Linked DNA regions of Daphnia pulex. The protein of the gene in region 2 purifies or fractionates together with the protein of the main gene of each other region. This does not show direct contact. Links are inferred from orthologs where the notes say so. Each region holds a gene or a part of one and is shown on either strand. Other genes may lie near its edges.

Region 1 (7,795 bases), on a different chromosome or scaffold from region 2:
AATCCTTTAACACCTCGAGTAAAACTTACGAATCCCTGGAAGAGATACATGTGTTAGCATTAGCCCATGTTCTCAAGCGGCCTATTTTTGTCATCGCGGACACTGTTTTAAAAGTAGGCGATAAACAGGCTCACATGATTCATGTCACGCCTATCACTCACGAAGGATCTAAGCTGATTACGACTGTCTGGCGGCCTTCTTCTGAGCTTTATTTTAAAACGTTTTTATTGGTCTATATCTCATCCAGGATGTCAATGGAGAGGACCTCGCACCTATCCCATTCGGTGGCATCTACCTTCCGCTGGAGATTGAGCCTAGTGAATGCAGCCGGTCGCCTTTAATTTTAGCCTATGACGCTGCTCATTTTTCAGCTTTAGTTGCCATGGCGCCTCAGAAGAAATTCTCCCCGACCACTTGCGAACAAGTTCATGAGCCACCTGCCGGTATTTTCTTGTTTATTCAGAGCCAGCTTTTGTCACTGTTTGGAAATTGGTTTTTCTTTTTAAACTATTTTAGTTATTCCTCTGGTGGACGTGGATCGTGAATTATTGCCCATCCAGTTTGAGGTGGATCCAGGCGAAGCGTGCGTTTGGAACCGGGATGAATTCAATGAGGCTGTTGTTCAACGGGTTGCCTTCACGCATGAGGATCGTCTTGCGTTGCTGAACCAGTTCCTTGATTTAGTCGACATTCCGTGTCCGGCAGTCATTAAAAATAGCAGCTCTAAAACTTCCAAAGTCAAAAATGATACCAAAGCAAATGGAACTCTCAGTCGTCCGTCACACGACACGGAAGGATGGAGTAGTGATGGCGAATTTAATGGGGCTCGATTTGGTCCATCCGGGCCTAAAGCCCCTGGCAAGCAGCTACACTACAGTGTAGCTAAACAATTTGGCAGTCTAGGGCGTTCCGTCGGTCGCAAGATAAAGAAAAATTTGATTGACAACTTCACCCTGAAGCATCCGCTACCGTCGCCAGCCCGCCTCAATAATGTCCAATGGGAATGTCCGGATTTCATACTGTGTGCCCGTCTGCATACCGAGAAGCACCATCCTTGCCTCGAGCAGATGATTAGCAATTACATGCAATCGGCTCGTCATAGGTTTGAACAGCAGCAGGCCGAACGTCAACGTCAAACGCTTGTCTGGCAGCGCCGGAAGCAGCATACCTTGGCCGAAATGGCCATCCAAGAGGGACCTAGCCCTTGCATTAATCCCAACTGCTCCATGTACGGGACTGCTCTCACCAGCTACATGTGCACGGCCTGCTACGCAAAACAACTCGAGCAGGAAGAAGAAAGGGCCAAGAATCTGAAAGTGGCTGCTACAAAATCAAACAGCTGCGGCAATCAAAACGCTCTGTACGGAATTGGGAAATCCGTGTTCTATGCCCAATCAGACAGCCAATCTTACGCCGATGCCACCAACATTCCGGCGCGCAGACCACCGAATGGACAAAACGGGACGCTGTATCTCTCGAATTCTACTTTTTACGGCGACGGGAATCCGCCCAACTCGGCAACACCTTCTCCTAAAATCGAGGAAAAGGTTGTTTTCGAGAAGATAAGTCCTAATATTTGTGAAAAGTTTAAACAGCCCAGCGTGGTGGAGCCAGTCGGGCAACAAGCAAAAGCGACCACACCAACCATGCCGACGATCATTGCCAAAGTTTACGAGCGCAACGGAACCCATAAACCAACTGAAGAACTGATTGATTTGAGGCTGGATCATCCTGAAGAACAACAAAGGCCAACACATCCGGTCCGCCCGCCCAGACTTTTACAGCAGCCACACAAAGGGGTGGCAGGAAATTCTCCTGTGGACGTCGAGTTACCGCGCTCTTCCCCCGTAGTTGAGAAAGTTGTACCGCAGCCTACGTCTCGACTTTTATCTCATTATGATAGCATCCGCAAACAGTGCAAATCAACCGGATGCACCTCGTACGGCATGGCGAACACCCAGTGGTTTTGCTCAGATTGTTTCTTTATCCGAAAGAAAGCTGCACTGGCTAGGGAGTCCATCCTTGAAGATCTGAAAGCGGCGCAAATGCAATAGTGAAAACGGAAGCAAATAATCTAGACTAATTATCCAAAAATTTCAGCCTGACTTTGTTCATATAATCGACTATTTATGACTACAGGGATACCGTTCCTCCAAAACTATTTCCTTACAAATACCAGTACGTTTTTGAAGAAAAAAAAAATAATTAGTAGCCAACGATTCAACTGATTGCCTTATTTTTCATGGATAGCGTCAAGCTTTTCTCGTTATCTCACGCTTTGAAACGAATTTTAACGTGAAATTGCAATGTCAGTGAATTGCGGTTGTTTGTTTTGTGTGGCTTTACAAGTGGGCGGGTTCTGGTTCCATGCAGTTGTTTAGTCTCAAAAAGATTGGCTGAGTCACTTTTTAGTCGACACGTTCTTTTATTGAGAAATGTAGCTTTCTTCGATTGGATTTGTTCATAGTTGTAATATCGATTTCTTCAAACAAATGTTGTTTGCGTATTATCAAGTCCTTCTCTCTCCGCGTTTAAAAAAATCATTTCCGTCGCGTTTTTATTTCTTTTCGTTCTTTGTAGCATGCAAATCTCTCTAATCCGGGATATGAATGTTTTCTCATTTTTCCACATCACTAAGATGATCTGTCTTGATCAAAGAACGTCATATCTGGCATTTATTATTTCGATGTAGCTTGTTGATGACTATATATATATACGTATATATAAATGAAGTAAAGTAAATACACAACTTGCTCATTCACTAGCGTCTAGATGTGAAAAAAGGTTACGTTGTAGTTGTACTACTAAAGAAGAGCCCAATACAATTAAAAACGAATAAGTTGGTATGATCATCTGGGATATGAAAGGCGTCACGCACATCCTGTATCACGCAGTCGTCGCTGCATAGTACTTAAAAAGTAAACTTTCAGTTACCATGACCCGATTTTGGAAGAGCATGCCAACTATAGGTGGATCGCGCTCACATTAGTATATCTTCTAAAATGTCAGGGGACGTATAAGAAAAATAAGCAAAAATACATAATATAAGCAAAATACAATCAAATATTTACGAATAACGGGGTAGGTACGGTACACTCGCTGTTTTTTTTATAATTCAAACTTGTCTAGACGGATCATTTTTTTTTAAATGCTTGCAGCTTAAAATTCACAGTTGTAAGGTAGGCTAGTAATCCGAAGAGACTCAAGAGAGTACAAATTACGATATGCATATTTACGACGGATTTACCCGGTCGGGATTATTTTGGTTCGTTCGTTCGCAGACAGAAGTTCATTCAAGTTGCATACTTGTCTGATAGGTGGTGGGGTTGTAGCCAGCCAGCTGATGCAATGTGCACATTGTAGTACTTGCATTTGATGTAATTATTCGTGCAATATTCTTTCATCTACTATTCCGGTATTTATTGCAATTAGTAAATAGTAATCTCCACACTTAAATCATGGCAGATGCCGGTAAAAGTATCGCCGACCAGATAAAAGAACAAGGAGAGATCGTTCGAAAACTCAAGGCGGAAAAAGCCGGCATTGACAAGGTATAAATTAAGTTTCCATTGCTGACCAGCACATTGTATAAAAAAGTTATCAAAGGTTTTTTTATTGGTGGAACTTCAATTCTTACAATTCTTCCACACTTTTCAAAGGTGGTTGAATCTGTTGCATAGTTTCCTTTTCTATATTGTCAGTCTGCAAAGTGTTGATTGAAAATGAGACTTATCAATTTGATGCCCGGTGCTTATTATAAACTATTCCGCTGCCTTTCTTCCAAGATCACAGAGGAAGTCTCTAAACTACTGGCACTGAAGGCTCAACAAGGAAGTGACAAGGATGAAAAATCCAGTGGCAAATTCGTCCTCAAAACAGCCAAAGGAACTCGTGATTTCAACCCAAGGCAGATGGTGATCAGGCAGCAAGCTTTTGACAAAATTATTGCATGCTTTAAACGCCATGGTGCTGAGACTTTGGACACACCGGTTTTTGAACTGAAAGAAGTCCTCACTGGAAAATATGGAGAAGATTCCAAACTTATCTACGATCTGGCGGATCAAGGAGGAGAAATCCTTTCACTTCGTTATGACTTGACCGTTCCCTTTGCTCGCTTTTTGGCGATGAACAAGGTTGGATCCATCAAACGGTACCAACTCGGCAAGGTGTACAGAAGAGACAATCCTGCCATGACCAAAGGAAGATTTAGGGAATTTTTCCAATGTGTAAGACTCTTTTAATTAAGCAACTTGTTGCTACTGATATTTTAATTGTACCAATTGTTTCTTTCTAGGATTTTGATATCGCTGGCCCAACTGATCCTATGATTCCCGATGTCGAGTGCGTCAGAGTGGTTACTGAAATTCTCGATTCGTTGGATTTGAGCGAACACATCGTCAAAATTAATCATCGTAAAATTTTAGATGGCCTTTTCGAAGCTTGTGGTGTTCCTGATACTCAATTTCGAGCTATATGTTCCTCAGTTGATAAACTAGATAAGGTACGATATTCTGTTTGATACTAGAATTGCATATAAACAATTAATAAAAACTTTATGCATTTCTAGTCGCCTTGGGAAGAGGTGCGTAAGGAGATGACCGATGAGAAAGGTCTAGCACCTGAAAAAGCTGATCAAATTGGACAATACGTTCTTCGTTCTGGCCAAGATGACTTGGTAGAGCAACTGTTAGCCGACCCCAAATTGAGTTTATCCAAGTCGGCGATTGAGGGCCTTGAGGCTTTGAAATTGTTCTTCAGATACGCAGAACTCTACGGAGTTAAGAAGCGTGTCAAGTTTGACATGAGTTTGGCCCGAGGATTAGACTACTACACCGGGATAATCTACGAGGCTGTGTTAACAAGTATTTTGTATATATTTTTTGTACATTAAAAGACAATCCTATTTAATATCCATTATTTTGTTAGACCAAAACCCTGAAGAAGGAGTCGGTTCGATTGCAGGTGGCGGTCGTTACGATAATTTGGTTGCACTATTCGATCCTAAAGCAAAGGCCGTCCCGTGTGTCGGTGTTTCGATCGGCATTGAGCGGATTTTGGCGATTTTGGAGAACCGAGAGGCCAATCTTAAATTGCGAACCGTCGAAACCCAAGTTTACGTTGCAGCTGCGCAAAAGAATCTCTTGGAGGAAAGGATGAAAATTTGTGCTGAGCTCTGGGACAAGGAAATAAAGGTTAAACGACGTGCTAATTAACACCTAAAGAACATTTACTAATGCAATTTTATGTATCGTTGCAGACGGAAATGTCCTATAAAGCTAATCCAAAGTTGCTGGGGCAATTGCAGACTTGCGAGGAGCAGGGTATTCCCTGGGCAATTATTATTGGTCAATCGGAATTGGAAAAAGGAGTGGTCAAACTGCGTCACGTCCCGTCTCGTCAGGAAGAGGAAATTGAACGTTCGAAATTGGCGGACGTGTTGAAGCAAAAATTGAACGCTTCCATTGTTTGAAGATCACCTTTTTTTGCCAGTGCAAAAGATTCTATCTTGAAATAAAGATATTTGGATCTACTGAAATCCATCGTTTTATTTGCTGATCCGATGAAACGATTGACAACCAATTACTTTAATTTACTCTGCTTATTATATATAAATGGGTACATTTGTTTAATTAAGTGACGAGTCTTACTTTGAACACCTGATCAATCAACTATCACTAATGCCTGACGTAACTTAGTAAAGTGACATCATTAAAATTGTATTCCATCCTCAGCAGACTGTGGGGCGTTACTGACGGGAAGGGGGGGGGGGGGTTATAGAGACAGGAGTGACGAGGGCTTTCCTGTTTCCGGATTTCCATGAAACCTCATAAACGATGCTTGTATGTTGCAGGTGAAAACACATCTGCTCCGTATCTCAAGGGACAGTTGCTATAGCGTAGAACAAAGAAGAAGATCGTGCTCAGTACACAACGGTCGATATTCTTCTGGGTCGCTCGTCCGTCAACTACGAACAATGAAACTCATTTGATATTCATGAGTCGGCCCACGCCGAAGAGTCGTTTTAATATTAGAACAAGCCAACTGAAATACGAGCAATAACCAGAAAAACTGCACTTGTATTTGCCATGAAAAGTAATGTTCATCACATGTTACTGGATAGCAGAAATATGTTTTGCTGTATCATCGTCCCGAATTACGTCAGGTTGGTATAGTATGGTCACATTGATCACATTACATCGACATGTCACGGTAACAAAAGGCAATACAAATAATGAAGAAAGAAGATGCTTTCTACTTAAACTCTGCCTTTACAGCTGCCTGTACATATATATATATATAGGCTACTACCTGGAAAAATGATAGAAGACGAGACTGATAGCCGGCATATTTTTAGAAGCAGAGGTTAGTCAGTTAGTGAGAGTATATTTTTCTAGCCATAAAGGAAGAGGATAAACATTTCTTCGCTAAAGAGAAACGATCGTGTGGACTACTTTGTGACACCATTCAAAGCCAACGCAAACATTTTCGATCGGCTAAAAATATTTCCAAAAAGTCATCCCCCCAGAAAAGGGGGGTGGCGTGGTCTTTTTAATTCTCGCGGATCTCGCCACCGTGCGCAAGGAGTTAAAAACCGAGAAGAGGCTTCGCTAAGCGTCTATGACGCCTTCCCTTCCTCCTTGATTTTTGTTAGGGAAAAAAAGCGTTTTACAGTAACTTTTCTGGCTTATTCAAAGATATTTACAAGACACAGTCGCCCGCTTCTTCGACTGTTCACAAGAACGGGCAAATGTCAACTTTGATTCACATCCAACCGTTCGGTAAGTTACATTTTTAAGTTGTAATTCTACGTTGTCTATCTCGCCCATGCCAGGCTGTGTGTGAAGTTTCCCTCCATCAGGCATCTACTTCCATGCGAATCGATAAAACTCATTGTTTAATCATACCCAATCCTGCCTCCATTTTTGATCGACACGCTATTCAACGTCGTTGAAGAGCTGTCTGATCACTTTATTGACATTTCCTTTCTGCAGCTCAAATGTGGGATTCATGTAGTTTGTCAGGGGACGTTAAATTTTTGGTTTCATTAGTAGACGATGTGGGTTTGAATTGGCATTCTCATCTTGTCTCTTGAGCATCGAAATGCCTTCATCAAGAGACAAACCCTGTTTATGTGGCTTGCAATAGCAGGGCTATGTAGGATTGAATAACAGGTGGTAGGCTTAACATCTTTTAAAGCTTAACAGGCAGTTCCATTTTATTGATGCATTTCAACATGGAGATAACCTCAGAGATTACCTCTCTCTTTTTTTAGAAGTTCTGGTTCAATCTGGTTCATTCGTTCCTACTGTCTGATTTCCCCCTTGAGCACCTTTACGCCAGAACATATTTCCAGCATCCAGGTTTCTGTCATTCTTCTGATTGATGTGTTGAAGGCATTAAGATTGGTTGGTTGTTTTCCCCTCTTTTTTCTTTTCTTTTCTTTTTTCTTTTATTTTATTTTTAAAAGCCGTCTTACTAGGATAGCGCGTGTCGTGGATTTAGGAATCACGCGAGCGGTTCAGTAAATCATTCCCGTTTCATCAACATTTTCGACTCGATAACACATACATACACACCAACGCACACACACCGTCAGCTGAAAGACGAAGAACTTTTTCCTTTTTTCTTCACAAGCAAAGCAACACATGCGTCTTTTCTATGTTTTTGCTACTCTTCCACCCCAGCATTTCTCCCCCCCCCCTTAACCCCGCCCGGTTTTGAAGGAATGGGCCAAGTTTAGCACGGCGTACTAATGGGCTCTTCCAAGTCGCCTGACGTCGTATCCCGCTGACTT
Region 2 (6,662 bases):
ATTTTCTTCATCATTCATTGAGTCGTGACGCGTGTTGCGTGGGAGTTTCTAAAACATGTGGATCGATCTGGTCTAGTGGCCAAAATCGTTACGTGTGTGTGTGTGTATACTCGCACAAGTCGTGATCTTTGGCACTTCCCCATTTTCTAGACAAACAGGCACGCTTTCACTCACGTCACGATGACTATCCAAAAAAGGAAACAAAACCGTGACGCTTATCTTATTGTTATGAATAGTATATGTATAAGAGAGCCAGACACCTGTAGGCAATTCAACTTATTTCAATCGTTTTGTTTTTCTCTTTCCATTCCACACCAAAGCCTGGCTGCTATTTATTCTTATTACCGTGCCACCCATTAAGACGTAAACTAATAGCAGCCAATTGGTTCGTGTTTTATTGTCTCCTTCCTCACACATGATTGATTGCCAGCGTAAAGCAAAGACCATCAGCACCTTGTTTGGACAGCTTCTACGGTAATTAGTGAATAATTGAATCCCAAAAGACTTTCTTCAGACTATCACTTGCAACTAGTAATTAAATAGGACGTCCAACGATCGTATCTTTTATCTCATTTTTTGTTTCGCAGTCCATCGCGCAGGCGAAGTGAACGGGGCTTTTTTCTTTGCAGGAGGGGCGCGGCGAAAAACAGACAGACACGCACGCACGGTGGCTCGATATCAACAAAAACCAGCACGCATTGTAGTCTCATTTCGTATACGGCCTTCCGAACGACCACAGTTGTTGAATAACGATTGCTGAGCACATACAAACCGACTATACACACAAGCGGTGTAGTGAGTGTGTGTGTGTAGCGACGCATTAAAAAGGGGCCGGCTCGAGAGATAGTTGTCTCAATCGTTGGCAAGACGGGGTCCTTAGCTAGTTGCTGTGATAACTCGGTAGTTGTGCTTCATCCAACGACTCTTCAACACCGTCACAACAATCAACCAACAGACGACGACATGGGAACTAAAGTTGGAAGTATAAAATAAAAGTTTTTTCCCTTTTTATTTTATGTCTTTTTACATATTCCTGGGCTCGGTTTTTTGTTGTTGTGTGTGTGTTTTGTATAGTTCCATTTGAAATTTACAGCCCTTTATTTTATTTTTTTCTTGCACGTAACTCGTGGGAAATGTGTTGTTTGTCCTCTCACACTTTTTTTCTCGTCTTTTTTCCTTAATTGGACGAGATTGGATTACGGCAACCACCGAAATCTCCAACTGTTTCAATTTGACAAGACCCAACGTGTGGATTAAGTGTTTCATTGTAAGAAAAAAAAAATTCCTCCTTCATTCCGAACGAAAAAGATTCGTTTATTTATTTCTTTAAAAAAGGAAATAGCCAGAAGGCATCACATTCCTATATCTTCTCTCAATTGGGTCCCTTCTATTTTTCCTAGTACCGTTAGAGACCGCCTCGGTAGATAGTTGTCTCACACGTCTCACAAAAGTTGTTGTGGATGTCGGTCGATTGCGGAGAACAACGTTGAAAAGGAGGGGGGAGAAAGATGGACGATAATATCCAGATCATTGCTAAATGTGGAAGTGGTGGCCAACCACACCCACACGCTCGGCAGTTTAAAAATCCATTTCGAATTGGCCGTAGAGAGAAGGAAGGAAAAGGAGACCATTGTTTTAACCTCGTTGTCTGCGGTAGAATTGAAATGATTTAGAAAGCTCGAAATTTTGACTAGTTTTTTTTTTAAATTTCAATATGCATAAATTTGTTGTTGTTGCGGTGGCGGAGTCACAACTTTCGTGTGCAGCGGTATCATCAGTATTTCCGTAACGATCTAACCTCAATCTCTTTTTTTTTTTTCACGGATAACACATGTTATTGTTTTTCACGCAATTGCCCCACTAATGAAACTACTGTCATTTCACACGATTTTAATATCATTTTTTCTTTTTTGGTTGTTATTTTAATCAGGAGATTCTTCGTCGTCAGAGGACACGCTCGCTCTCATCCGCAAGTCGCTCCGCTCCGTGCACATGTCTCAAGCGGAGGTTTTTGAGGAGACCCTACCTCATAGTTTCGTCATCTTCGGGGCTTCGGTAAATGAAACTGGTTTTTAAAAATTTTCTTTAGCGACTTTGTCGGCGTCCCACTGGGCAATTCATCTTCCCCGGAATGATCGGCCAGCTCTCTCTCTTTATGCCAGTAGTCACCTGGCACCGCAAAAGCGATCGTATTGTAAATGCATAAGAGAGTGAGCGCTGCTGAGCGAGCACTCGACGCTCCGTTACACGCCACGTGAAAGTGCCCTCAATTTTGCTCGCTACTCCGCCACGTTCGCGTTTCTTTTGTTCAGAAATTCCCCCCAGTTCGATTCGAAGAAAAAATAAGAACCGGTTTTTTTTTTTAACACAAGTACAAACCCCAAAAAAAAGTTTAATTTGAAGTAGTAATAAAAAAAAAACTGGAAAAGCAACTTTAATTGCGGGTTGCCGAATCTGTTTTTTTTTTCTTTTGTTTTATCGTCTGGCTAATCGCCGCACAAACGAAAAAAAAAAAGTTACACGCTTTATTTTAATTGCACATTGTGTGGGAGAAACAAAAACGTTTATTTTTTTTAATCAGATAAGAGATAACAGAGTTATGGAATTTTTCTTTCCTCCCGACAAATGGTAGAAAATTGGAATTTGCGCATGTCCTCTCACTTTCACGCACTATTGATTTAAATGATTGTTTTTTAATTGACATGTTGATTATCGTTATTCGATGCAAACAGGGCGATTTGGCGAGAAAGAAAATCTACCCGACCATCTGGTGGCTGTACCGCGATAATTTATTACCCAAGAACACAATCTTCTATGGCTACGCCCGTTCTCACATGAAGGTGGAGGAGGTGAGAGCCAAGAGCCACCAGTACATGAAAGTCAAGGAGGAGGAACAGGAGCGCTACGAGGCTTTTTGGGAGGCCAATCGCTACTTTGCGGGCGGCTATGACTCCCGAAGAGATTTCGAAATGCTCGATCAGGAGATGATTCAGCACGAACGTGGTCCAGCCGCCAATCGACTCTTTTACTTGGCCGTCCCACCGTTCGTTTTCGAATCCGTCACTGCCAACATCCGCAGTTCCTGCATGGCATCCAAGTATAAATCTTTCATAAATTAATTCAAAGTTCATGTAAATTTAATTCATTTTTTTGTTTTTTCCAGGGGCTGGACTCGAGTGATTGTAGAAAAGCCGTTCGGTCGTGATTTGGAATCGTCGGCTCATTTATCGGCTCATTTGGCGGCTTTGTTCCGTGAAGATCAAATCTATCGAATCGATCATTATCTCGGCAAGGAGATGGTCCAGAATTTGATGATTCTCCGGTTCGGCAATCGACTGTTCGGTCCGACGTGGAATCGTGAGAGCATCGCCAGCGTTCTCATCACTTTCAAGGAACCTTTCGGCACTGAAGGCCGTGGCGGCTACTTTGACGAGTTTGGCATCATTCGTGATGTCATGCAGAACCATCTGTTGCAAATGCTCTGCCTGACGGCCATGGAGAAACCGGCCTCGACTCATCCCAACGACATTCGCGACGAGAAAGTCAAAGTGCTCAAATGCATTCCGGCCCTGACGATGGACGATGTCGTTCTCGGCCAATACATTGGCGATCCCGAAGGCCAGGGAGAAGCCAAGGAAAGTTATCTGGACGATCCGACTGTTCCGAAAGACTCCACCACTCCGACTTACGCCTCGGCCGCTTTGCGAATTAATAACGAGCGATGGGACGGTGTCCCGTTTATTCTTCGCTGCGGAAAGGCGCTGAACGAACGGAAAGCCGAGGTTCGGATCCAGTACCGCGACGTACCCGGTGACATCTTTCAAGGGCAGGCCAAGCGCAACGAATTGGTCATTCGCGTTCAGCCGGGAGAGGCCATTTACGTCAAAATGGTTACCAAAACACCTGGCATGAGTTTCGACATGGAAGAGACCGAGCTGGACTTGACGTACGGCGCTCGTTACAAGGTAAATTCTCATTGAATAATGAACAGGATTTTATTCATTGATTAATTGTTATATTGTCTGAATTGCATAGCACGTCAAAATGCCGGACGCTTACGAACGGTTGATTCTCGACGTCTTTTGTGGATCTCAAATGCATTTCGTTCGATCGGATGAGTTGGCCGAAGCCTGGCGCATCTTCACGCCCCTCTTGCACCAAATTGAAGGGGAGAAAGTCAAACCACTACCTTACAAGTTCGTTAAAACTTTCACTTTGTTTTGAGTCTTCTTTTTACTGACGTAATTATTTTTTAAAAATTTTAAATGGAAAAAGGTATGGATCGAGAGGCCCGAGAGAGGCTGACGACTTGCTGGCACGCAGCAATTTCAAATACTCTGGCTCGTACAAGTGGGTGAAACCTTCGTCCATCTAAAACGACGACATTCCGAACAACGAACATTCCTGGATCTTTTTTTTTTTACACTTCATCAAAATTAATTGAAATTAAGCAGAAAGCCTTAAATGATTTAATTATATACAGGTCTATCTTGGTTGTCCTTTTTTTAAACAAAAGATGGTAAATTTTATGTTTTCTTTCTTGTTTAAGGGGTGGAAGCGAATGTTCGGTCTCTGTATCTGGCAGATTCGTTGAGCTCAAAAATAAAGAAAAATTCTATTCCTTAATGCTAGGTAAACTTTCCTTGTTCTGTTTGAAGGAGCTGGGAGTTGGCCACAAAACATTTGTTCACCCTCACCGAATTCATGGTTCCGTTCAGATGGACATCCAGCGTCCATCCGTAGCTCTTGCAGTTTCTACTAACAATTGTTCTTCAACCACTCAATGCGTTAGCTGACTTGTTGAGTGGTTTAATATGATTGGTGGAGGTTGAAGAACAAACCGCTCAGGTGTTGCATCGTCAAGTCCCTCATCCACTTTCCCTTAACAGTTCAGCAGCCCCCCACAAGTTTGTTGGAGTGTAGAAAAGTGTTGCAACGTTTCGGTCACTTTTTGGTTGGAATATTTTGTTTATCATGGGCGGATCCAGCCGTCCGTAATTGAAATCGTTTCCGCAGATATTTGGTTCCAAATGTTGCTCATTTTGGCGATGATTTCCGGATCGTTAATTTGGTTGCCCATTGCGGTGACGTCACACTGTTTTATTTACATTAAACCAGCATAAAGTATCTGACTGAACCCAACGGATGCGCTTATATTGAAAAAGAACATCAAGCAATGGCGTTCTGGAGCCAAAGCATACAATCTCCATCGCTTTCTCAGATTTACTATTCAGGATGATCGTAAAACAGGTATTGACTTTTTGATTTCAATTTTACATAGTAAATTTACAAATTACTTTTCCTGATTCAGTAGGGCATTACTAAACATTTACGCTTCACGGAGAAGCACGCAACAACTTTCTAGCTGAGGACAACGTCACGGCTCTGCTTCACGACAATCGAAAGTTAATGTAGATGCGCATCAATGCAGTGTCCTCATCCCCCAATAAGTATGGGACTCGATCTTATTTATCTAAAATTCAATCAAGTTATTGTCAATTTTCTTGTTTTATTTAGGCAATTCTTCGATTATCTACTATTCAGCTACGTATTTCTGTTTCGTCAGTGAACTTGCGCTACTTTGTCGCTTTATATTTCCATTCCATATATTACAAGATTTATAGTAACAAACTTACAACCAATGAGGCATTTAGGGATCGGAGAAAACGCATTGGTTCATTATGTTCCTGCAGATTGTCGAGTGTTCGGGCTATTTAAGCACTTGGGTATGGTTTAGATTGTTCAGTTTGATAACTCGCTGGTTTGTTGCTGTATGAAGAAGGTGCGGGATACTGGGCCTCTCCTTCGTATTTGACTTCAGCGACGTATCCGTTTTGGTCGGCTCTGTAGGTGACGATTTGGGTGCGGCCGTCGGGCAAGGCAACGCGGTAGGATCCGGTCGTGACTTTGCCGTCGCTTTCCTGTTGGTGCGAGTAGTCGTTCTTGCTCGGCTCGTCCTTCACTTCCCAGGCAAACGAGTGCGGCATAGGAGCGTGCTATGGAAAATCAAAATTTTTAATTTGAACACTTGAACGTTATTTTTAATTTACCTGCTGTTCTTCGTAGGATGACTTGGCGGCATTGCCGGCGTACTGTTCCTGTCCGACTGTCATAACGACAGCCAACGAGACAAGGGCGACGATAGTTTGGACCTGTTTACGAGCATTAAACTAAAATAAAAGTCGCAATCATTTGAGTAATAAAATGAACAAGACCTGCATGTTGGTTGGTGAAGCTTTTGGTAGGAGAATCGAGAATCGACTGATGACTTTTACCCAGTCGACACAGCCGTTTTATAGTTACACTTTTACACGATGGCCAAGGTGATTCTCGATAGTGTGGTCAAGACGTGCGACTGAGATTATTATTGGAAAGAAAAGGGAAACTTGTCAGGTAAAAGAACAAGAGCGACAATTACTTTTGAACGTTCACTTTTGTGGTTGCATACCGTTATATACGTCAAAACTTTCATCCGGCGTTGTAATACTATGGGAGAATTTTCTATTCGCTTCACCTTTCCCTTAGTTGATCCATTGACATAATGTTATTACTTGCTAGAAATCTTGGCTTTTGGGGTGTTAGAAAATAATGGTATTTTCGGCTGATTATTGCTATCCGCTCTTTTGCAGTTGAAATAAGATGAAACATTACGAATTAACTGT

Evidence for each region. Proteins that work in one complex are often made in the same cells at the same time.
Region 1: the proteins of glucose-6-phosphate 1-dehydrogenase-like (region 2) and histidine--tRNA ligase, cytoplasmic-like fractionate together in Homo sapiens (co-fractionation; 3 studies listed by BioGRID). This does not show direct contact. The link is inferred for Daphnia pulex from reciprocal best matches to the Homo sapiens genes G6PD and HARS1.

Annotation. Positions count from the first base shown.
Region 1 is NC_060022.1:4,993,559-5,001,353, forward strand, and holds histidine--tRNA ligase, cytoplasmic-like, read left to right. Parts: upstream 1-3,296; 5' UTR 3,297-3,458; coding exon 3,459-3,551; intron 3,552-3,659; exon of another isoform or gene 3,660-3,722; coding exon of another isoform or gene 3,723-3,785; coding exon 3,786-4,226; intron 4,227-4,294; coding exon 4,295-4,501; intron 4,502-4,567; coding exon 4,568-4,862; intron 4,863-4,926; coding exon 4,927-5,192; intron 5,193-5,257; coding exon 5,258-5,470; 3' UTR 5,471-5,536; downstream 5,537-7,795. Other genes in the region: OTU domain-containing protein 7B-like, read left to right, coding at 1-113, 248-443, 517-2,054. UniProt on the Homo sapiens protein: Catalyzes the ATP-dependent ligation of histidine to the 3'-end of its cognate tRNA, via the formation of an aminoacyl-adenylate intermediate (His-AMP). Plays a role in axon guidance.
Region 2 is NC_060026.1:14,993,024-14,999,685, reverse strand, and holds the end of glucose-6-phosphate 1-dehydrogenase-like, read left to right. Parts: exon of another isoform or gene 1-629; 5' UTR 630-963; coding exon 964-982; intron 983-1,930; coding exon 1,931-2,055; intron 2,056-2,732; coding exon 2,733-3,097; intron 3,098-3,163; coding exon 3,164-3,965; intron 3,966-4,035; coding exon 4,036-4,196; intron 4,197-4,275; coding exon 4,276-4,375; 3' UTR 4,376-4,626; downstream 4,627-6,662. Other genes in the region: pro-resilin-like, read right to left, coding at 5,715-5,996, 6,051-6,152, 6,216-6,221. UniProt on the Homo sapiens protein: Catalyzes the rate-limiting step of the oxidative pentose-phosphate pathway, which represents a route for the dissimilation of carbohydrates besides glycolysis.